3 linked regions of the Anolis sagrei genome follow. The protein of the gene in region 1 purifies or fractionates together with the protein of each later gene. This does not show direct contact. Links are inferred from orthologs where the notes say so. Each region holds a gene or a part of one and is shown in the gene's direction. Other genes may lie near its edges.

The links.
Region 2: the proteins of ERBB3 (region 1) and GRB2 purify together in Homo sapiens (affinity purification with mass spectrometry; 3 studies listed by BioGRID and IntAct, with this or other methods). This does not show direct contact. The link is inferred for Anolis sagrei from reciprocal best matches to the Homo sapiens genes ERBB3 and GRB2.
Region 3: the proteins of ERBB3 (region 1) and PA2G4 purify together in Homo sapiens (affinity purification with western blotting; 4 studies listed by BioGRID and IntAct, with this or other methods). This does not show direct contact. The link is inferred for Anolis sagrei from reciprocal best matches to the Homo sapiens genes ERBB3 and PA2G4.

The regions. Positions count from the first base shown.
Region 1 is NC_090022.1:146,696,627-146,704,361, forward strand, and holds the start of ERBB3 (receptor tyrosine-protein kinase erbB-3), read left to right. Parts: upstream 1-4,717; 5' UTR 4,718-4,981; coding exon 4,982-5,066; intron 5,067-7,735. UniProt on the Homo sapiens protein: Tyrosine-protein kinase that plays an essential role as cell surface receptor for neuregulins.
Region 2 is NC_090022.1:117,442,557-117,450,605, reverse strand, and holds the start of GRB2 (growth factor receptor-bound protein 2), read left to right. Parts: upstream 1-5,008; 5' UTR 5,009-5,209; intron 5,210-8,049. UniProt on the Homo sapiens protein: Non-enzymatic adapter protein that plays a pivotal role in precisely regulated signaling cascades from cell surface receptors to cellular responses, including signaling transduction and gene expression.
Region 3 is NC_090022.1:146,811,913-146,819,526, forward strand, and holds the start of PA2G4 (proliferation-associated protein 2G4), read left to right. Parts: upstream 1-4,597; 5' UTR 4,598-4,797; coding exon 4,798-4,885; intron 4,886-7,614. UniProt on the Homo sapiens protein: May play a role in a ERBB3-regulated signal transduction pathway. Seems be involved in growth regulation. Acts a corepressor of the androgen receptor (AR) and is regulated by the ERBB3 ligand neuregulin-1/heregulin (HRG).

The DNA.
Region 1 (7,735 bases):
GTGGCCAAAGTACTTCAACTTTGTCTCTAGTATCCTTCCCTCCAATGAGCAGCCGGGCTTTATTTTCTGAAGTATGGACTGGTTGGATCTTCTCGCAGTCCAAGGCACTCTCAGAACTTTCCTCAAAAGCATCTATATTCCTTTGCTCAGCCTTCTCTAAGGTCCAGTTCTCACATCCGTAGGTTACTACAGGGAATACCATGGCTTTGACTATGCGGATCTTTGTTGCCAGTATGTTGCAGTAATTTTGACTATTTTTAGGATGTTGACTTTAGGATGGTAATTCCAGTTTATAACCACAGGGGGGCGCCAGAGGGTGGCCACAGGTGCCTTTCCTGTCTCATTCCCAATCCCATCCTAAGGAGCTACATTCCAATTGGCAAGGGTGGTTATTATAATATTTTAACAGGGAGAGAATGTTTCCTTGTGTCCTAGCTCTGTGTACTATATTAGAACAAAAACATAAGGTAGTTGGGAAGGAAGAATTACAAGAAGGTAGAACAGGAAAATAGACTGGAAACTATTTGGGAAAGACTGGGCGAAGCAAAAGGGAGGAACCCCAAAGCTTATGAGTACAAGACTATTCAAAAAACGTGAACACTTAAATGTCTTATAAAATAATGATGCCTCTTAAACCAGTGGCAATTTGTGGCCCTTTGGATGTTGGACCAGATCAGCATCGCAGATGGTGGTGGATGATAGGCGTTGCATCTTAATAGCATCTGGAGGGCCACTGACACCTTCCTTGCCTGCCTGGCATCTTCTGTGAGGCTTGTTTAGACTGAATTCTGGGCTGAAGGAGAGCCCAAGGTCCTAATTAGGTCAAGGTAACCTTTTCCTCTTTTGTGTCACCCGTTTCCTGTGTGTGACTCACTCTCTGGGTGGAGTGGAGAGAAAGCAGGGGTTAAAACGCAGCAAGGTTTTAAGAAACAGGGTGGACAACAGTGGGTTGAGTTTTTGATCTCCGGATCAGTGCCTAGGCAGGACTTCAAGGTGGCCACAATGAGGAATGGGTCTCAACTTGAAGGTTGTTTTTAAAAGAGAATAAAGGTCTTAGGGCAGGCATGGGCGAACTTGGGCCGTCCAGGTGTTTTGGACTTCAACTCCCTACCGGCTGTTAGGAATTGTAGGAGTTGAAGTCCAAAACACCTGGACGGCCCAAGTTTGCCCATGCCTGCTTTAGTGACTCCAAAATTCTGGGACTGAACACATTTCAGGACACTTGATACTCATCAAGCTACAAATCCCAAGATTCCATAGCATTGAACTAAAGTGATGTACAGTTGAATTATTCTACAGTATAGATGCACCCATAGTACTCAGCTAATACTATGGGGCCACAGTAGCGCAGCGGGTTAAACAGCTAGCTGCAAGAAATCTGCTGACTGGAGAGTTGGCAGTTTGAAGCCGCAAGTCGGGGTGAGCTCCTGCTGTCAGCCCTAGCTTCTGCCAACCTAACAGTTCAAAAGCATGTGGGAAGGTAAAAGGGCGCCGGCAAAACACAATTAGAGATGTCTACGGACAACAGGCTCCTTGGCATGGAAAAATGGAACAAGAGCACCTCCCCATGGTTGGAGTTGAGCATCGCTTCCAGACGCTGGAAATGAAAAGGAAAAACTTTTACCTGTGTCTGTGTATTGTATGTCGTTGTTGTTCACTGGGTAAAAGGCATTGAATGTTTGCCTTATATGTGTATACAGTAGTCTGCTCTGAGTCCCTCCGAAGACATAAAGAAGAATATAAATAAAGTGTTGAAGTATTCCATTGCCTTGGACAGCATTCAGTTTCCCCTCTGCTTATGTACTACAATTTATTTCCCTTTGAGGAGTTGTAGGAAAACAAACATTTCAGTAGTGTTAGGGTTAGGAAATAATTCATGAATGTTTCTTATTGCTCTGCATTCGTAATTTACTTGTAAATTAACGTTAACTGTATCCCTGTTGCTGGTGCACTGCTTTCACATATTTCAGTTTGATGCAAACAATTAGAAACATAGCTCTGTTTAATTTTCAAAACATGTTCTGCACTTTGGTACGAACAGCTGTGGCAAGAAGCTCTTTTAGGCTTTAGCCAGTGGAATCCTATCCATGTCTACTCAAGTGAACATAGTGGGACTTGCTTCTAAATAAATATGTATTGAGTTTCAGCTTGAGAGCAACAGAGAAGTTAGACATCTTTCTGCTCCGATACAGACATCATTCACCCTTTGAAAAAAAAATCAAGCACTGCTAACAAATGTCCAAACTCTCCACATTAACCTCAATGAAGCGTAGAGAACTTCCTTTCCCCCAAATAGTTGTGGCTTTGTGGTTCACACTTCATGGTTCAGCCTTGATTGTTATCCTCCTGCTTCCTTGCCTACTCTGGTATATACTCACAGACTATGGTTGGAGCCCCCGGTGGCACAGTGGTTTAAGCTGCTGAGCTGCTGAACTTGCTGATCAAAAGGTTGCAGGTTTGAATCCAGGGAGCGATGTGAACTCCCACTGTAAGCCCCAGCTCCTGTCAACCTAGCAGTTTGAAAACATGTAAATGTGCTGGCCACATGACCTTGGAGGTGTCTACGGACAAGGCCGGCTCTTCAGCTTAGAAATGGAGATGGAGGGAGTTTCAACAGATGTTGCCTCTGCATGAAATTCGCTCATCTGTACAATCATTAAAGGTACGAGAGTCTTCTCTTGTTTTTAAACTAAGAGTGATAGAGTCCTGGGAAGTGTAGTTTAGCCTCATCTGCTCTAAATGTAGTTTGAGGTGTTGACAGACTCCTGCTGTTTTCATGCCAGTATAATGGTAAATGCCAAAATTCAGGCTGTCATCATAACAGCGTTTTAGGGAAACCCATAAAGTGGCCAGAAGGTCAGATTGTTGGGTAGATTATTTTATATATAAACATTTGTGTCATAATGGTTTGTTGGAAGGCTTTCATGGCCGGAATCACTGGGTTGCTGTGAGTTTTCTGGGCTGTATGGCCATGTTCCAGAAGCACTCTCTCCTGATGTTTCTCTCACATCTATGGCAGGCATCCTCAGAGGTGTGATTGGAAACTAAACCCCACTTCTCTAGTTTTCAACAGACCTCACAACCTCTGGAATCATTTTAACAGGTTTATTGTTTTAATAATTACAATATTTAATTCTATTTTAATATTTGTATTTTGTAGGTTTTCAAACTGTGTAGTTTCTAAGGCTGAGAGCTATTCTGAGTTTAAGTCCTGGAAGAACAGCAAGATACAAATAATAATAATAATAATAATAATAATAATAATGCAAAAGATCACAGGGGCCATCCAGTCCAACCGGGTGCCATGCAGAAACACACAATAAAAGCATAATAATAATAATAATAATAATAATCATCATCATCATCATCATCATCGTCGTCGTCGTCATCATCATCATCGACAAAATCACGATTTGTCAACTGCAAAAGGCTACCTTACTTGGATCTGCACACATCTTTGAAAATACATCACACAGCCCTAGACGCTTCGACTTGTGATTTTGTGATACAATGGGGTTGGACTGGATGGCCCACGAGGTCTCTTCCAACTCTGATATTCTATGACTAGCAGTCTCCTGCCACACATTGCTGTGGCCCAGTCTGGTGATCTGGAAAAGTAAAGAGAAATACTTGTAATATTTTTGTGCTTGTGGGTAGACAGTATTTCTTTATTTCTTGCTGTTTCTTTGTCAGTGTTGATGTGGAGATGGCCTGGTTTGCCTCCTCTAGAAAATGCAACATATCATTGTCCTTCTTTAGGGGTCCCTTTCAAATCTACGAGACTATATGTGTGTGTGAATCATATATATCTATCTATATCTATGGCTGGATGGCTCTTTCTCAGGAGGGATTTCATTACGTTTTCTTGCCTTGGTGAAGGGACTGGATGGCCTTAAGTATTTTCTGTTGATCATGGGGGTTCTGTGTAGGAGGTTTGGCCCAATTCTGTCGTTGGTGGGAGTCAGAATGTTATTTGATTGTAGGTGAACTATAAATCCCAGTAACTACAACTCCCAAATGTCAAGGTCTATTTCCTCCAAACTCCACCAGTGTTCACATTTGGGCATATGGAATGTTCATGTCAAGTTTGGTCCAGATCCAGCATTGTTTGAGTCCAGAGTGCTCTCTGGATGTAGGTGAACTACAACTCCCAAACTCAAAGTCAGTGCCCACCAAACCCTCCCAATTTTTTCTGTTGGTCGTGGGAGTTCTGTGTGCCAAGTTTGGTTCAGTTTCATCATTGGTGGAGTTCAGAATGCTCTGATTGTAGGTGAACTATAAATCCCAGCAACTACAACTCCTTAATGACAAAATCAATTATTTTGAGTGATGGTCACTATTTGGGTTAGTAGGTGTCTTGTGTCCAAATTTGGCGGCAATTCGTCCAGTGGTTTTTGAGTTATGTTAATCCCACAAACGAACATTACATTTTAGATAGGTAGGTAGGTAGATAGATAGATAGATAGATAGATAGATAGACAGACAGACAGACAGACAGACAGACAGACAGACAGACAGACAGACAGACAGACAGATAGATGATAGATAGATAGATTCTATGACACTGGATTGTTGTAGGTTTTTTCTATGACACACACTCTCTTTCCATTCCTGGATTCTGGAGCTCCCTCTGGCTTCCCTCTGATTGGTCAGAGCGCGGCGCAGTCCCAGCCAATGAGGCGCGAGCTCGGCTTCCCCTTGAATGAAGTGTGTGCAATTAGTGAGTTGTGGTGCGTAAAGGGGAGCGGATCAAAGTCTGTGCGCTGAGCGGGATCTGGGGGCCAGAAAGAGATCCGGCCCCAAAGAAAAAGAAACAGAAGAAGAAGAGAGGGAGGAGGAGGCGGCGATGGCCGACTGAGACCTTTTCCTCGGGGATCAAGTGGCTCCGGACTCTTGTTCATCCCGAAAGAGGAGGAAAGAGCCGCCTATGCGGAAGGAAAGCGGAGGCAGCACCTGAAAGAGTCCCAATCCCCGTTCAGCCATGAGGCAGAGCCTCCCGGGGCCAGGTCTCCTCCTGGGGCTGCTTTCTCTCGCGGGGTTCCTGCTGCCCGCCGCCTCTCAAGCAGGTAAGACCACACAACAACAACAACAACAAGTGTATGGATGTTCATTTAAGATCTATTTTCACCGCGGGCGCGTTGATCAGGGCAGGACTGGTTTTGGTTTTGGTCTTGCTCTTCCTGGAAATCCGAGACCAGGTGTTTGAGTCTCTCTCTGTGTCTATCTCTCTCTCTACTTTCGGTTGATCCTAGGTTTCGCTCAAACGTGACGGCTTTGGACTCGATTGTCCATCTGTATGGTCGAATTAACACTAAGGGGAGTTTAATTGGAGCCTTAAGTGCGTTCATTCAGCATTGGGGCAGATGCCCTCCGAGGGTTAGAAGGGAGCAGACCACCCCCTTGTTGTGTCAGCTCCACTGGCTGGCGGTCCACTTCCCAGCTCAATTCAAAGTATTGTCGAAGGCTTTCATGGCCGGAATCACTGGGTTGTTGTAGGTTTTTTTCGGGCTATATGGCCATGTTCTAGAGGCATTCTCTCCTGACGTTTCGCCTGCATCTATGGCAAGCATCCTCTGCTGGTTTTGACCTACTTGACCCAGCTTACTTGTCTGAACACATCTCCCTCTACGTCCTGCCTCGCAATTTAAGATCATCCGGAGAGGCCCTGCTCTCGCTCCCACCAGTGTCGCAAATACGTCAGGCGGGGACGAGAGACAGGGCCTTCTCGGCTGTGGCCCCCCGCCTGTGGAACTTGCTTCCCACTGAGGTAAAATCATCCCGGGGGCTCCTGCTCTCATTCCTGCCATCGTCACAAATATGTCTGGCAGGGACGAGAGACAGGGCCTTCTTGGCTGTGGCCCCCCGCCTGTGGAACTCGCTTCCCACTGAGGTAAGATCATCCCGGGGGCTCCTGCTCTCGTTCCTGCCATCGTCACAAATATGTCTGGCAGGGACGAGAGACAGGGCCTTCTTGGCTGTGGCCCCCTGCCCATAGAACTCGCTTCCCACTGAGGTAAGATCATCCAGGAAGGCCCTGCTCTCGCTCCTGCCAGCATCACAAATATGTCTGGCGAGGATGAGGGACAGGGCCTTCTCACTGTGGCCCCCTGCCTGTGTAACTTGCTTCCCACTGAGGTAAGATCAGCTCCATCCCTCCTGTCATTTAGGAAGAAATTGAAGTCATGGCACTTTGGATATGGAATTGGCTGGAATTATGTTATGGCTGTTCATACTTTTTTATGCTGTTTTAATGAATGTTTTACTTATTGTTTGAATTGTGATTATATTGCTGTGCTATATGTAGTGGTATCAAATTGCTGCCAAATGTAAGCTGTCCCGAGTTCCCCTTTGGGGGTTGAGAAGGAATGGGATAGAAATACTGGAAATAAATAAATTAGAAGGCGTGGCATGTGTGACTGCGAGCATGTTTTCTCGCACCCCCCCCCCCCCCAAAACCCGCAGCAGAAACTTCCAAGGCAAACTTTTAGGAATCCATGAGATCTTGTTCCGCCAGCTTTGCAGCTCTCTGCCTGCGGGTGGAGTCTGCCTGCCTGTGGAGTCTGCCTGCCTGCCTGCCTGCCTGTCTTTCGGAAGGCTTTTGGTTCAGTTCTCAAAGGGCACCTGTTGAGGCTGTGATAGAGGAGGGCCAAGGCTGGAACCCCTCCATCCCACCCCTGACCCGGGAGGCGCATCTGTTGGGACTTGCTGCTCTGTCCCTTGAAAAGACAAAGCCCAGAATCCCCGGGGTCTCTTCCCAACCAGGCACTCAGGGCCCTTCCTCACAGTCATGCAACCCAGAATGTCAAGGCAGAACATCCCACATTATCTGAGTGTGGACTCAGGGCCCTTCCACACAGCCCTATATCCCAGGATATCAAGGCAAAAAATAGCACAATATCTGCCTTGAACTGAGTTGTCTGAGTCCACACTGCCATATATTCCAGTTCAAAGCAGAAAATGTGGGATTTTATTCAGCTGTGTGGAAGGGGCCTCAGATGACCAGTTCAAAGTAGATATTGCGGGATTTTCTGCCTTGATGTTCAGGGCTATAGGACTATGTGGAAGGATCCTCAGGGCCCTTCCACACAGCCATCTGCTTTGAACTGGGTTATCTGAAGCCCTTCCACACAGCTGAATAAAACCCCACCTTATCTGCTTTGTACTGGGATTTATGGCAATGTAGACTCAGGGCCCTTCCATGCAGCACTCTATCCCAGGATATCAAGGCAGAAAATCCCACAATACCTGCTTTGAACTGGGTTATCTGAGGCCCCTTTCACACAGCTGAATAAAACCCCACATTATCTGCTTTGTACTGGGATTTGTGGCAATGTGGACTCAGGGCCCTTCCACACAGCCCTATGTTTTGGTGCCAAAGGATATCAGGGCAGAAAATCCCACAATATCTGTTTTGAACTGAGTTATTTGAGTCTACACTCAGATAATGTGGGGTTTTCTGCTGTTATATTCTGGGTTTTAGGGCTGCGTGGAAGGGCCCTGAGTCTACACTCAGATATTGTGGGATTTCCTGCCTTGATATTCTGGGTTACATGGCTGTATGGTAGGGCCCCGAGTCCACACTTCCATATATTCCAGAACAAATTGGATTTTCCACAGCTGTGTGGAAGGGTCCTTGGGCCCCTTCTACACTGACATATAAAATCCAGATTATCTGCTTTGAACTGGATTATATGGCAGTGTAGACTCAGATAATCTGGTTCAAAGCAAATAATGT
Region 2 (8,049 bases), about 29 Mb from region 1:
CTTCAGTATCCCAGTATGAATCTTTAAGCATTTATTATGCTCTGTCCTTCAGCAATTTTGAATGGTTGTTCTTTCTACTAAATCTTTCATTTCTAACACCTATACAGGCTCTGACAAGTTAACACTTGAACCCTAGACAGGATAGCTTGCTTTGTAATTAGAAAGACATAAATGTGTCTAAGGTGAAATGATGTACAAGTTAAATGATGGAAAATTCCCCAGTACAACAATGCAATTAAAATACAGACTCCCCAGATGCAAGCTGATGAACGAGGCAGTGGCCATGAAAAGCAACAGACCAGTATTGTACAAAAGCTTGAATGAAGTATAAGTTTGCATTAAGAAAAATATGAATCACGAAGTGCAAAATCAGAGATTTTGGAACAATTTTCTGTAGCAGATGACACTATAATAAGTTTTGGGCTCTACTCATCCTGTGTATATGTATTTCTGCATGCTAAATGCAATCTAGGAGAAAAAACTTCTGCTTTATTATCTGACTGTAAAATACTAAGTACAATCGCATTAAAATTTACCTTTGCTATGGGTAATGTTTGTGAAACACCATTTAGAAATGCAACGAGCATGGGTAGATGTCCTGTTACATGCAAAATATTTTAAGTTGCTATTTTGCCTTCTTTTGCCTTGCCCGATTTTCAGCATGCGGTGGAATCATGACCGCATCATTAAACAGGTCTGATTCCCATAAACATTTGGTGTCTACTTCATGGTTGATGGGAGATAAATACAGAGGGTTCTCCCAGACAGACTGCCCCCAGTCTTAACAATTAAGGTCAGTCTTAACTTCTCTTGCCACACTATCCTTTAAAGGGTGGAAATAGAGTGTGCATCCCACTTTAAATCCTCTTGCGGAATGTTGGGTTTTGTAGTGTAGTGAGACCCAGGACCTTTCTGGCTGAGAATTTTAAAGGCCCCTCCCTGGTATAGTTATATTGAAAGTATTGGTTGTGTTACATATATGGAGACCAGGGTTCAAGTTCCTATTTGGCCATGGAAGCTCACTGAATGACCTTAGACAAGGAGACCCTCTCATGTGGGTTTCTTGGCATTATTTGTTCACAAGGGGTTTGCCTTTACCTTCCTCTGAAAACAGAGAAAGTGACTTGCCCAATGTAACCCAGTGGATTTCCATAGCCCAGGGGGTATTCAAACCTTGGTCTCCAGAAAGGTAGTTCACACTAGCTCACTTTCAGTTTTGAAAATGTAATCCAGTTATTAATTCCAATATGTATGTTACTTTCCAATAGCTTTTTTTTTACTTGTTTTAAAAAACTCTTTGAATTAATGAAATAATGACAAAATATATGGACTGCACCAATAAATTAAAGTAATTTCCTACCGATTGTATTGCTTTGGAAGTGCAACATTGTTATAGCTTGTTAGCCAAAAAGGTAATTACAACAACCTATTACTTCTAAGCTCTGATTTTGCACTTTAACTTAAAAGAGAGACTTATAGCTGAGCCATGTGAATTTTCTGTCCCTACCTTTTGTGCACTCACAGCACTTTCAGTTAATAGTACAAGTGTCGTCAACTTGCGTCTCTCTATAAATAGTTGAACAGTACCTCTCATCTTCTCTTATCTCCGGCAACAATAGTTATGCTGATTGGAATTTAAAGGAAGGAAAGAAAGAAAGAAAGCCACAACTCTAATATTCTGGTTTTGGTAGTTAATGTGGATTTTAGATTTCTGGATTTCCAAACTTCTCAACATCTAAACATTATACACTTTTTACAAATTATTTTATTTTGCCTATAGTTTTCCCTCCCCTGAAATTGGCTGATAATTGTATTGATTGTGAAATAAATAACATGAACTGGACAGGCAGGAATGCAGCCTAGCATTAATATGAATTGAAAAATCTGTAATACATTAAAGCTATTCCTTGGCCCTTAAAAAGCTGTAACCAATTCATATATGAGACGTAGACTCACACTCACTTGGATTTTTTAATGCTTTGTCAAGAACGGAGCAGAAAGATATGGACTAAGAAGCACTAATTTATAAAGATATATATAATCAAACATTTCATTAATTAACAAAACACCCCTGGCTCTTTCTTTCCACCGGGACTGCTGGGACTATATATTTCTCTTTTCCTTTTAACTTCTTCACTGTTGTGGAATATCATATAGCTGAACTACCAGCTCCAATTTATAACCATTCTTTTTCTGCAACTGAACCCCTGCAGTACAGTCAACCAGCACAGTTTAAAGCCCAACTTCACATAGGTGAAAAAATCAACCAAATATTGTACATGACCATTTCTGTTCCCCAATACTATGTTGTGTAGCGGCTTGATCAGTTGATTATGACTCTGAAGACATAGGTTTGAATCCCCACTCAACTATGGAAACATACTGGGTGGCCTTGGGTGAGTCACATTCTCGCAGCCTCAGAGAAAGTCAAAGATAAAACCCCTTTTGCCAAGAAAAGGTTACACAAACCAATCTTTTTACACAAACCCCTCTGGATTTTTACCTGCTGAAGAAGTGGATGAGTTGTGATACCTAGGCCCCTTCTACGTTGCCATATAAAATCCATTCAGCCCAACCCCCTTCTGCCATGCAGGAACACAGATTTGAAAGCGCCCCCAACAGATGGCCATCCAGCCTCTGCTTAAAAACTGCCAGAGGGGGGACTCCAGCATGCTCCGAGGCAGCAGCATAGTGCTGCTCAATAGTGGAATATGCTGTTGAGCAGCACTGACTGTGAAGAAGTTCTTCCTGATGTTTAAGGGAAATTAAACCCTTGCTGCCAACCTTTGTGTTTCCATGACTGCTAAATAATCTTATGGAAAGGAATATAATTACTCATGACTAAGTGTTATGAGTAAGAGTTGCCAGGCATTGTTGACATGCTTACCAGTTTTAAATAGTCTTCCACTTTAATCCTCGCTATGTTTATTTGGAAGGGAGTTCCAATGTGTTCTTTATTCTATAATAAAGGCACCTTATTGATTGCAATTTTATCACGCCTTTGACTTCTATTACAAGGCATTTCCACTGATGTATTGACACATAAAGAAGAGCAGAAGTTATTTGGTTCAGCTTTTAAAACTGGACGTTTTGGCCCAGTGTAATAGACAAGAACATGATTGAAACAGGGCTATTGAAGACTGTTCATGTTACAGAGCAGGCATGTCCAACCTGCGACCTGTGGGCCAATGCAACTCAAGAGGACTATGAATGCGGCCCAACAAAACAAATTTGTAAACTTACTTAAAACATTGTGGATTTTTTGGTGATTTTTTAAAATATAATTTGATTGAATGTGAACTTTTGTAGATGACAACAGAATTAAATATCTTGCTAGTTTTATGTTGCCCCTTTTTCTTTAGTTTTGTCATTCAAAAATGTTTTTAAAATAATGAAATTTTATTACACAGTCTTCAAGTTACAAATAAGACAGGTTCTTCTGATTGTCCTTAAATTGAATTTGTATGTAAGTAGAAACAGGTACATTTTAAAAGTGTAACTCCAGCCAAATATATATTAGCTTTGGATAGCACAGGGAAGGACTAACACTCCTATGATGTTTGTTTTATGGACTGTACCCCTCTTCAGAGGATTTGACCTCACTTTCTGTCTCAGTGATAATTGGATTTTGAAAAAATTAGCTTGTTATGGAAGCAAGGTTTGGTGATAAATCTTCAGTGGAGACACCTTTTCCCCAAGATAACTCTTCCAAGACTGAATTTCCCTTCATGGGGTAGATTTATCTCAGATTGTTGTTGTTTAGGTTAATTATACCCTGCTTTATCTCTCCTGAAGGAGACTCAAAGCAGCTTACAATTAAAAGCATGACCACATAATTTAAAATTCACAAATATGTGAACAATAAAACAGAATTAAACAGATTTATGCCTGATGGAGCAGGCATACTCAGCTGTTGAGTAAGACAAGGCCAGGTTCTTATTAATTTTGGCTCTGCACCTGATGCACTATTAGCAAGTTTCCGCAGGATGTCATTGTGTGCAGCTACTTTGTGCTTGGTGTTCACACAGTGTTTCCTAAAGGTTAGCGTTAAGTCTGAGGGCCCTTTCACACAGTTCTTGGCCTTCCCAGGTAACCTTCAGTTTCCTGTTGGCTTCACAATTATATTGATGGCAAGCACACACTTGTGTCTTGGCAAGGTTAGGCTTCAGAAGGGGAATACTGTGGAATAATGTCAGTTATATTTGGCGAGGCATTAGCACTATTTAGACCTTGCAAAATGACACCTCCTGTGATTTCATAGCATTGCGCCAAAAAGTGGCCAAAGTGATGTCAAACTGCATTCATCCTACACTGTAGATGCCACAACCATGAATAACTCCTGCCATCGTCACTACACCCAGATGTTACTAAGCCAGAAGGTCCTATTCGCCAATGATGAGAAAAATGTTGTTGTTGTATTGTCGAAGGCTTTCATGGCTGGAATTGTTGTAGGTTTTTTCAGGCTGTATTGCCATGGTCTAGAGGCATTCTCTCCTGACGATTCGCCTACACTTTGGCAAGCATCCTCTGAGGTAGTGAGAATGTTTTTGTTGTTTATTTGTTCAGTCACTTCCTACTCTTCTTGACCTCATGGACCAGCCCATGCCAGAGCTCCCTGTTGGCCGTGGCCACCCCAGCTCCTTCAGAGTCAATCCAGTCACTGCAAGGACACCATCCATCCATCTTGCCCTTGGTCGGCCCCTCTTCCTTTTTCCTTCCATTTCCCCCAGCATCATTGTCTTCTCTAAGCTTTCCTTTCTTCTCATTATGTGGCCAAGGTACTTCATCTTTGCCTCTAATATCCTTCCCTCCAATGAGCAGTCGGGTTTTATTTCCTGAGAAATATATTGGAGGGAATATAGTTTATGGCATTTTTCTTTAAATGGATCCAGAAAGACTTTTCAGGAGTTTATCTTCTTGCACATGCGCCTGCTGCCACCACAGACTTCAAATCCACCCACCCCCTCTGGTGACAGCCCTTAGAGTGCGCATGCGCTCTTCAGCATCCTTTTTTCCCCCGCCCTTCTCCTCGCACCCCATGGTGGCCTCGCGAGAGTACGGTGGCGGAAGTTGTTCTGCGGCGCTCCCCTGCTGAGGGCGAAGAAGCCGCTGAGGCGGGGCCGCGGAGAGGAAAGGAAGGAAGGGAGGAAGGAAGGAGAGAGGGACGGGCGGAGGGGGCCGCTTGGAGCGGAACCCCAGCTGACTTACGGTAAGGGGTGCTTGGCCTCGGCCGGGGGTCCGCCCTGGGGGCTTTTCCCTTGGCGGCGGACGCGCAGAGCGGTTGTCGGGGGAGGGGAAGGAAGGGAACGGGAAGGAGGCTGGGGTTCGCCTATGCGCGCGCGCTCGCCTCAGCTGCCTTTCAGTGTGTGAGCGCGCGCGGCGCGGGAAATCGAGGGGAGTCGGGTGGTGCTCGCGCTCTCTGATCTCCTCGTCGTGCGAATGACTCTGCTGCTCCTTGAGAAATGGACACTGCGAGATAAATGCCTTGAGTGGCGGAGAATCTTTCCAGAGTTGGCCTAGTAATTATTAACTTAGGCTCAATGTACACTACTATATCATGCAGTTCCAAACTGCATTATATGAGTTTACACCGGACATGGGCAAACTTCGGCCCTCCAGATATTTTGGACTCCAACTCAGCTGTAAAGTTAATACAGCTTGATAGCACTTTAACAGCTGTGGCTCAATGCCAAGGAATCCTGGGAGTTGTCATTTTACAATTTATTATTTACCATATTTATATCCAGCCCTTCTCAACCCTGAAGGGGACTCGGAGTGGTGCACATAAAGGCACATGCAAGGCCTTTAGCCTTCTCTGCCAAAGAGTGCTGGTGATTTGCCAAACTACAAATCCCAGGATTCCATAGAATTGAACCATGACAGTTAAAGTGTTATCAAGGTGCATTAATTCTTCAGTCAAGATCCAGCCAAGGAAGCCATGGCTATCCAGGGTCTGCAAAACCTTAGCACTGTTCTTGCTGAAAGAGTGACACAGGGCATCCCATAAGTGACAAACCTCTAAGAACCTTTCCACACAGCCATATAATCCAGAATGCCAAGGCAGAAAATCCCACAATATCTGCTTTGAACTGGGTTATCTGAGTCCACATTGCCAAATATCCCAATTCAAAGCAGGTAATGTGGGATTTTATTAAGCTTTGTGGAAGGGACCATAAATGACAAACCTCTAAGTCAAAGTCAATTTGGCGGCAGTTAAGAACAGAACCTTTAGGGTGGTTGTTCTGATCTCATAGTTTCCATGTTGCATTATGATACTGAAATGAAATTCTCTTATAACACATGCTTAGTGTTAAAGCAGAAGTTGCGGTCAGCAGTTTTCTGTAAAAAGTGGTGGGACATGTATGAGGAAGGCAAAAATTAGAAGCAACATTTTGAATTGTCATTCACATTCACCTATTCGGGTGGTGGGAGTAGGCTTGTGTGTCTCTTCATAGATGTCGCCTTGGCAAAAAAGACTGGGAAGGAGTTTTGGCAGTTCCTTCCTTTGAAATATAGCATACTGCATCTGGTGGTCCCTGTCAGTTTGCCACTTGAGTATTAACTAGAGCTGACCCAGATTAGCTTTCAAGATCAGACAGAATCTGTACCTCCTCAGAAAATAGAGACTTCAGTAATGTGTTTGTATCAAAACTTTGGGAATGCAGGAATCTCCTAGGATTCACAGAATGGTTTCAGAGCAAAGGTAAAAATAGCTGTTGCATTGAAGGGGGATATTTAGAGAATCTTTTTCTGTGAATGCCTGAAACTTACCAAAAGTTTTATACAATCCCAATTTGCTTCCAATATCTTAAAAATGATCCAAGAAAAGACATAAAACTGCCAGAGCCCTCTAGCCAACTTAGCCTGTGGCTAAGAGTTTCCAGGAGTTGTAGGCCAAAGTAATGGTTCCAAGTTTTGCTTTAATTGTGCATATTAAAATGACATTGAGTACATCTATACTGTAGAATCAATGCAGTTCCCTGGGTCTGTGCTATGATTTGTAGTTGAGGCACTAGCACGCTTTGACAGATAAGTCGAAACTGTAACTCTCATGATTTCCCAATATTGAGTCCTGCTGAGCCTAGTGATGTCAACCTGCATTCATTCTATAGTTTAGCTGCACCCATTGCTTCTTAAAATTGTGTGCTGTTAAAAGATGCCTGGTGTCAATTCAAAATATAGAAGAAATGTTTCCCATTTGGGGAAAAACCCCAAGGCTTTATACCCTAAAAACATACTACAGGACACCCAAATTAATTTATTCTTACCCCTGGGCTATGACTTCCATGAGATATCACTGAAAAGAAATGTATCCTTAGTTAAGAAACCTCTACCTCCTCAAGATGTTCTGTTTTTTTTGTTTAGTTTTGTTTGTTTGTTTGTTTTGGTTTTTTGTTTTGTTTTTGCTTCAGGCTAATTTCTTGTGATAAACTGGTAGATACTTTTTCTGGCAAACATAGCAAGTCGGCTATGTAATGTTATCCCTACAATGTAATGCAAATCCCCAATGCTTAGTTCCTGCAAGATAATAAGGCCTCCTCAAAATAAGTTTATGTATGTAATTTGACCATTGGCAACCCCTGCATATATTTTGATAACTCTGCAGTGGGTCATTTAGTGTAATGTTTTACAATAGTAGTTTAACTCATGTATACTTTAGTTTAACTCATTTCAGTTTTTTATTTTATTTGGGAAAGGGATGTGTCTAGTTTCTAAGGAAGGAGCTCCTACTCTTCTCTAGAGCTCCTACTCCACATTATAATAATGCTTTTCTGATAAGCCTTCAAGTCTTGTAGTGAACCTATTGCAGGGTTTCCTTGGAAAGGTTTGTTTAGAGTGGGGTTGTCTTTGTATTCATCTGAACCTGAGAGAGTGTGACTTGTCATAAATCAGGAGTGTCAAACTGATGTTCATTAGGGGCCATTTCAGCCCTGTGGTTGCCTTCAAAGGGCCGATTACTCCGTAGATCGATAACCCATTGTTACAAAGGACTACATATAATTTTTAAAACACAATGGTCAGTGCTCTTTAGTTTTTACCCAATTTGGT
Region 3 (7,614 bases), about 120 kb from region 1:
AGCCCCCCCCCCCCCAGCTACATGCCTGCTTAGGGGGCATGTGTGTAGCTGGCCTGTGCACACAGCACTATATCTCCATACTAGAAGTTTCTAAAATTGCTCTTACGTTTTGAGTTGGGGTGCTACAGAGACTCCATGGAGAACTCGCCCAGTTATACAAAACTTGATGCTGATTCTTATAGATATGGCAACATTAGCATGCTTCGGATAGAGAGGGGGGGGTGATCCTGTGGCTCTCCAGATGTTGCTGAACTGCAACTCCCAGCATTCCTCACCTGTTGCTGCTGTAAGCTGTACTAAAATCATATCTGAAGGTCCAGCTTTGTCAAACCTTAAATCAAAGGTGGCATCTACCCTGTTGAAAACATGCAGTTTGATTCAATTGCTATGGCTGAAGACTATGGATTAGTTTTCCCATCAGTGTGGAAATAATACACTGGACTGTGGGAAGTCCTGACCATAAACCTCATCAGGCTGAAAGCCAAAAGTAAGTTCACAACAACTTTTGTTATAGAATTTCACTATGCTGACAATAATGTAGGCTGTGCTCATTCAGAGGAAGACCTACAAACCACCTTAAACATACTTGCAGAAGCATATGAAATTTTGGTCTATCACTGAACATTGAGAAAACCAAAGTGCTCTCTTTGCAGGCACCAACCAATCCTTCTGCAATGCCAGCAATAAAGATTAATGGTGTAAAGCTTTAAAAAATGACAATTTCGGCTTCCATTTGCAGCCACCTCTCCACAAAAGCAGTCATTGATGCCGAAATACAACACCGTCTGAGCTCTGTGAGTGCAGCATTTTATTCAAATTAAGCAGATAATGTTTAAAGATCAGGGCATTAGTAGGGATACCAAGATGCATGTTTATAAAGCTATTGTCCTTCCAACTCTATTGTGTGTCTGCGAGACATGGAGTGACAAATGTCACTCGACTTCTAGAAAGATTCCATCAGTGTTGCCTTCGAAAAATCCTGCAAATCTCTGAAAATTGGGAAGCCCTGACCCTTAAGCACTGTAAGAGGAGGTCAGCTGTTACCAACAGTGCTGTGGATTTTGAAGAGGCACAAATAGAGGGAGAAAGGGAGAAGCCTGCTGAAAGACAGATACATCAAACAAGCCCTTGTTGGGACTTTTCTTCCATCTAGAAATCGATGTTCTCATTGGAAAAGACCATGTAGATTCAGGATAGGTCTCCACAGTCACTTACAGACCCACAGCCAAGACTCTACCTTTAGAAGACAATCATACTTGGCCTTGAGTGACTTTTACAAGGTCTTTAGCCTTCCCTGTCAAAGACTGATACAACTCCTACAATCCCATAGCATCGAGCCATGGTAGTTAAACTGGTGGCAAAGTGCATGAATTCTACTGTAGATACACACTATAGGCAGATAAACAGTGTGGGAGGCAGGTGGATCTTTCACACTATTTCAAGCCACAATCTTTCGTCAGCATTTGCATTCGTGGCTATGAAGCCACTATTCTGGATCAACCTGCAGTGCCAGTTCCTGTGTGAACCTACTCCATGAATCCATCATTAACTTCCAGCAAACTGGTCTGTTGGGGAAAAAATCAGATCAGAATGAATTTAGGCACCTTCTACACAGCCATTATCAAAGCAGATAATCCACATTATCTGTTTTGGATTATCTGCGTCTACACTGCCATATAATCCAGTGCAAAGCAGATTTTATATGGCAGTGTAGAAGGGACCATAGTCTCAATGCTGCATCCACACTGTAGAATTAATAGTTTGACAAGTCTTTAACTGCAATGGCTTGATTATATGGAATCATGGGAGTTATAGTTTCACAAGCTCTTCAGCCTTCTCTGGTGCATTATCAAACAACAACATCTATGGTTAGCACTGACTCATAGCAGTTCATGTTGGGTCACAGTGCCTTACTTTTACAGTGTAGATGTATTAAAAGAGATGGAATTGTGGGAGTTGTAGTTTTACAGGAACTTTAATAATCTCTGCCCCAGAGTGCTGGTCCCTCACCAAATTACAACTCCCAGGAATCCACTGCATTGAGCCACAAGTCGCTTCTGACATGATTAAAAAAAGTGAATTGAGCCACGGCCATGGAAGTGGTATCAAACTGCATTAATTCAACAATATAGATGCACTCTCTCTTGCCGACACACACAAAGGCTCTGTAAAAGGACAACTCCCAGGATTCCACAGCATTGAGCCTGACAGTCAAACTCCATGAACTCTACAGCGCAAGGTGTACTCAAAAGAGAAGAGCCTTAAAGGCACAGCTTAATAATAATTATTATTATTATGCTGCGTCTTTGAGGTTCTGCTCTTTTGAGTATACCTTGCACTGTACAGTTTATTATTATTTGATTCAATTCCATCATTGGTTGAGTTCAGAATGCTCTTTGATTGTAGGTGAACTATAAATCCCAGCAACTACAACTCCCAAATGACAAAATCAATTTTTTTGAGTGAAGGACATAGATTGGGTTGTTAGGTGTCTTGGGTCCAAATTTGGTGTCAATTCATCCAGTGGTTTTTGAGTTCTGTTAACCCTACAAACCAACATTACATTTTTATTTATATAGACGACATTTATATGCCACCCTTCTCACCCCGAAGGGCGTTACAGTTCTGACTGTTGCTACGTGGTCCTTATACAGATTCCTCAGGAGAGAGGCAAGGGGATTTGGTATGCCCATACCACCACCACCACGGGGAATAACATTGCTTTAACTATGAGTTGAGTCCCACAACCTATGCAGTATGGAAGTTGTTGTTGTTCATTCGTTCAGTCGTTTCCGACTCTTCGTGACCTCATGGACCAGTCCACGCCAGAGCTCCCTATCAGCCGTCACCACCCCCAGCTCCTTCAAGGTCAATCCAGTCACTTAAAGGATACCATCCATCCATCTTGCTCTTGTTTGGCCCCTCTTCCTTTTTCCTTCCATTTTCCTCAGCATAATTGTCTTCTCTAAGCTTTGCTGTCTCCTCATGATGTGGCCAAAGTACGTCATCTTGGCCTCTACTATCCTTCCCTCCAATGAGCAGTCAGGCTTTATTTCCTGAAGTATGGACTGGTTGGATCTTCTCGCAGTCCAAGGCACTCTCAGCACTTTCCTCCAACACTACAGTTCAAAAGCATCTATCTTCCTTTGCTCAGCCTTCCCCAAGGGTTTTATTGGTTTTAACGGGTATAGATGTAATGTATTGTTGTCGATTGTTAAATTGTGTTATTTGTTTTATTGCTGTGGTATGTTACGGGCATCGAATTGTGCCTTGGATGTGTAAGCCGCCCTGAGTCCCCTTCGGGGTGAGAAGGGCAGGGTAAAAGTAAACCAAATAAAGAAAGAAAGAAGTAAGGTCCAGCTCTCACATCCGTGAAAGAAGAAAGCGCAAAAGCCGGGTTGCAGCTAAACATCAAAAAAACCAAGATTATGGCAGCAAGAATGATTGACAACTGGAAAATAGAGGGAGAAACCGTGGAGGCCGTGACAGACTTTGTATTTCTAGGTGCAAAGATTACTGCAGATGCAGACTGTGGCCAGGAAATCAGAAGACGCTTACTTCTTGGGAGGAGAGCAATGTCCAATCTCGATAAAATAGTGAAGAGTAGAGACATCAGACTGGCAACAAAGATCCGCCTAGTCAAAGCCATGGTATTCCCTGTAGTCACCTATGGATGTGAGAGCTGGACCTTAGGGAAGCCTGAGCGAAGGAAGATCGATGCTTTTGAGCTGTGGTGTTGGAGGAAAGTGCTGAGAGTGCCTTGGACTGCGAGAAGATCCAACCAGTCCATCCTCCAGGAAATAAAGCCTGACTGCTCACTGGAGGGAAAGATACTAGAGACAAAGTTGAAGTACTTTGGCCACATCATGAGGAGACAGGAAAGCCTAGAGAAGACAATTATGCTGGGGAAAGTGGAAGGCAAAAGGAAGAGGGGCCGACCAAGGGCAAGATGGATGGATGGCATCCTTGAAGTGACTGGACTGACCTTGAGGGAGCTGGGGGTGGTAACGGCCGACAGGGAGCTCTGGCGTGGGCTGGTCCATGAGGTCACGAAGAGTCGGAAACGACTGAACGAATGAACAACAACTCACATCCGTAGGTTACTATGGGGAACACCGCTGCTTTGACTATGTGGATCTTCATTGCCAGTGTGATGTCTCTACTCTTCACTATTTAAACAAGATTGGACATTGCTCTCCTCCCAAGAAGCGTCTCCTGATTTCCTGGCTGCAGTCTGCGTTGGCTGTAATCTTTGCACCTAGAAATACAAAGTCCGCCACGGCCTCCATGTTTTCTCCCTCTATTTCCCAGTTGTCAATCATTCTTGTTGCCACAATCTTGGTTTTTTGATGTTTAACTGCAAGCCAGCTTTTTCGCTTTCTTCTTTCACCTTGATTAGTATGGATTAGTATTGAGTATGGAAGAAGGGCCCTCAAAGCCAAGTAACTCTGCCTGCAGTTCCACCAGAAGCCTTTAGGTGGCAGGCACGGGGCTTGACAGGAGGCGCTTCCCTTTCGTGGCATTGTAAGGGTTGTGGGTTCTTTTTCTCTTCCCGGCACCCTTTGCGCTGCCGCGGCCCCTGACGGGACCTGTAGTCCCTTGTGAGCTGAAGGCGGCGGGCTGGCTTCCCAGCGTGCCGCGCGCAAAGCCCGCGCGCTGGCTGGCCGCCTGTCTGGTTGTCGCGCGCGCCGTGAGGAGGAGACGAAACAGAGGCAGAGGCGGCGGCGGCGGTGAGGTGGACTCCCTCCGAGCAGGCAGGCAGAGGAGGGAGAGAGAGAGGCGGCTGAGGGTCCGACCATGTCGGGCGAGGAGGAGACGTCCGAGCTGACGATCGCGGAAGACGTGGTGGTGAACAAGTACAAGATGGGGGGAGAGATCGCCAACCGTGAGTGCCTGCCTGCCGGTGGGGGGCGCGGCCTGGGCCCGAGGCTCTGGGATCCTGGGAGTTTGGCCGAGGAGGGGGAGGGGGAGGAGGGCGAAGGGAATGGCGGCAAGGCGGGGAAACAGTCTCTCTCTCCCTCCCTCCAAGAGGAACCCGAGGCGGCCCACGACCCGCCAAGTTGGGCTCCTTTCAACTCCAGGAAGAATGAGATACAGATACACTGTCTGCGTGTGTTTTAAGCCCCCTCACACCATAATCCTCGATGGGTCCTTCCTCGAAAGCCCAGTTGTCCTTGGAGAAGAGAGAAAGAAGGAAGGAAGGAGGAAGGGTTGGACGACTCGGCCGCACATGGCGCGCTCTTCACGTGTTCAACCCTCTCCTTGCTACACTGAAGAAGAAGCCCACTTTGACTCCTGTGGAATCCTGGGAGTTGTAGTTCCACAAGGTCTTTGTGTGTATGTGTAGAGGGGGCGCCTCCAGACTGTCGAATAACTTCAGTTGGCCTCACTTTTTACCTGCCACGGAATCCTGGGAGTTGTAGTTTTGATAAGGCCTTTGTGTCCTAAACCAGTGGTTCTCAACCTATGGGTCTTCAAGTGTTTTAGCTTACAACTCCCAGAAATCCCAGCCAGTTTACCAGATGTTTGCTGAGAGTTGAAGGCCAAAACATCTGGGGACCCACAGGTTGAGAACCTCTGGTGTATGGGGAGTGTGTCCCCACGTGGGCGAAATAATACAGTTTGACCCTCCCTGGCTGAACTCTATGGAATCCTGAGAGTTGTAGTTTTCATAAGAGCTCTGTGTGTGGAAGAGAGAGAGAGCATGCCTCCATACTGTAGAAGTATTGCCCTTTGACCGCCCCACTTTTAACTGCCATGGCTCCTTATTATGGGGTGGCGGGAGTTGTAGTTTTGTTGAGGCACCAGCAGTTTTTGGAAAAGAAAGCTTCAAAACCTTGTAAAACTACAACTCCCGTGATTCCATAGTAGGGAGAGTCCTGTCGAATTGCCTTAGTTCTACAGTGTGTAGAATAGATTCACTCTGTCTTTCCAGAAAGGCATGCTAGTACTCTTGACTTTATTAGCAGTATATTACCAGCCATTTGGGTGTGCTGGGGGTGGATTCCCAGGCCCCTTCCACACAGCTGAATAAAATCCCACCTTATCTGCTTTAAACTTGAATATATGGCAGTGTGGATTCAGATAACCCAGTTCAAAGCAGATATTGTGGGATTTTCTGCCTTCATATTCTGGGTTGTGTGGAAGGGGGCCCCAGTCTCCTCTTCCGCTTCCCTTTCTTTAAAGGAGAGAAGGGGGGTTGCTTTTGGGGAGAAGCTAGTTGAGTGAGCTCCCTCCAGGCGCACATGGTCTGGCCCTTGCCATGTGGAGCTGGCTGGTGCTCTCTCCTTTCACTAGGAGTCCTGGCTCCCTCCCAGGTGGCTCCTTTTGTTGAAAGAAGAACTTCTGCTTGGGATCAGATCACCTCCTTTTTTAAAAAAAAATCCCTATTGTAATCTAGGAAGTTGATGATCAGGCATACAGGGAGCTAGAGCAAGGGAATCCCTCTCTTGTAGCTCATCCAGGACTTTGCTCACTCACTATGTGATAAATATAGAGAGAGCGTTTGCTTGCAGTTCACTTGTAGGCCAAAGCACTCTCAATGGGTGGTAAACACGTGCGCCCGGATTGGGTGATTGCATACCTTCCCCTGCTGGGCTTAGTTTTAAAATGGTGATTTATACTTTTGCTCTCTTCTCTCCCACCACCCACTTAATTTTGTTCTATCAAGGATTATGACTAGTAGCTCTCCTTTAAGAATACTGTTTAAAAATAGGCTAACCCCATGGAGTCCTGCTGATAGATTGAGTGGGGGCGAGAGGTGCTTTGAGTTCTGTCTAAAAGCAGAAAGCAGGATATCAATTAAATAAATAAATAAATATATATATTACACGGTGCTGCCTTGTGTAGCTTCATAAATGAGAGAGCTCAATGCTCTCAACCTTATGCTTAGAATTTAGTTTGAGTAACTTAAACCTCTACATTCACATTTTTTTCTGGTTGAGTTTTAAAACTTTAAGAGAAAATTCTCAAGCTTGGTGAAGTTTCAGAGAGGATATGTTTGTATGATGAAGGAAACATCTCAATTAGATGAATCAGAATTGTCAGGCAGTATTTCATTTTCCTTATACTTCACAGAAACTAAACAGTAGGAGAAGAAGGATGTTTTTATTCTCAGAAGAAGCACCATGTGTGTGTGCATGGGCCTTCATGTTGTCTGTTGATTTCTGGCAACCTCATGAATTTCATAAGGTTTTAAGCAAAACCAATTCAGAGATTGTTTTTTCCCCCAGTTCTTTAATCTGAAATATAGTCTACAGCGCCTGTTAATTCCTTGGTGATCTCCCATCCAAGTACCACATAGGGCTGACCCTGCTTAACTTCCAAGATCAGACATGTTCTGGTGTCTTTAGAGTATTTAGTCTTTGTTTTAGCTTTGTTGTAGGAATAATTAAAAACCTAATAATGGGGTTACAACTAGAGCAGACTCTGAAGTAAGGAATAGAGGTTACTAGCCTGCAAAATAAAAAGATCTTGCTGGGTGAGGAGAGACCAAGGTCTGAATTTCTATGATGGGTTTCTTCCTAGAGTCCTTTTGTTGCTTGCTTATATGAAATTCTAGACACACGAGTGTGCCCTTCTTGATATCTTATGGCTACCAGGCCAGTGCTCTCA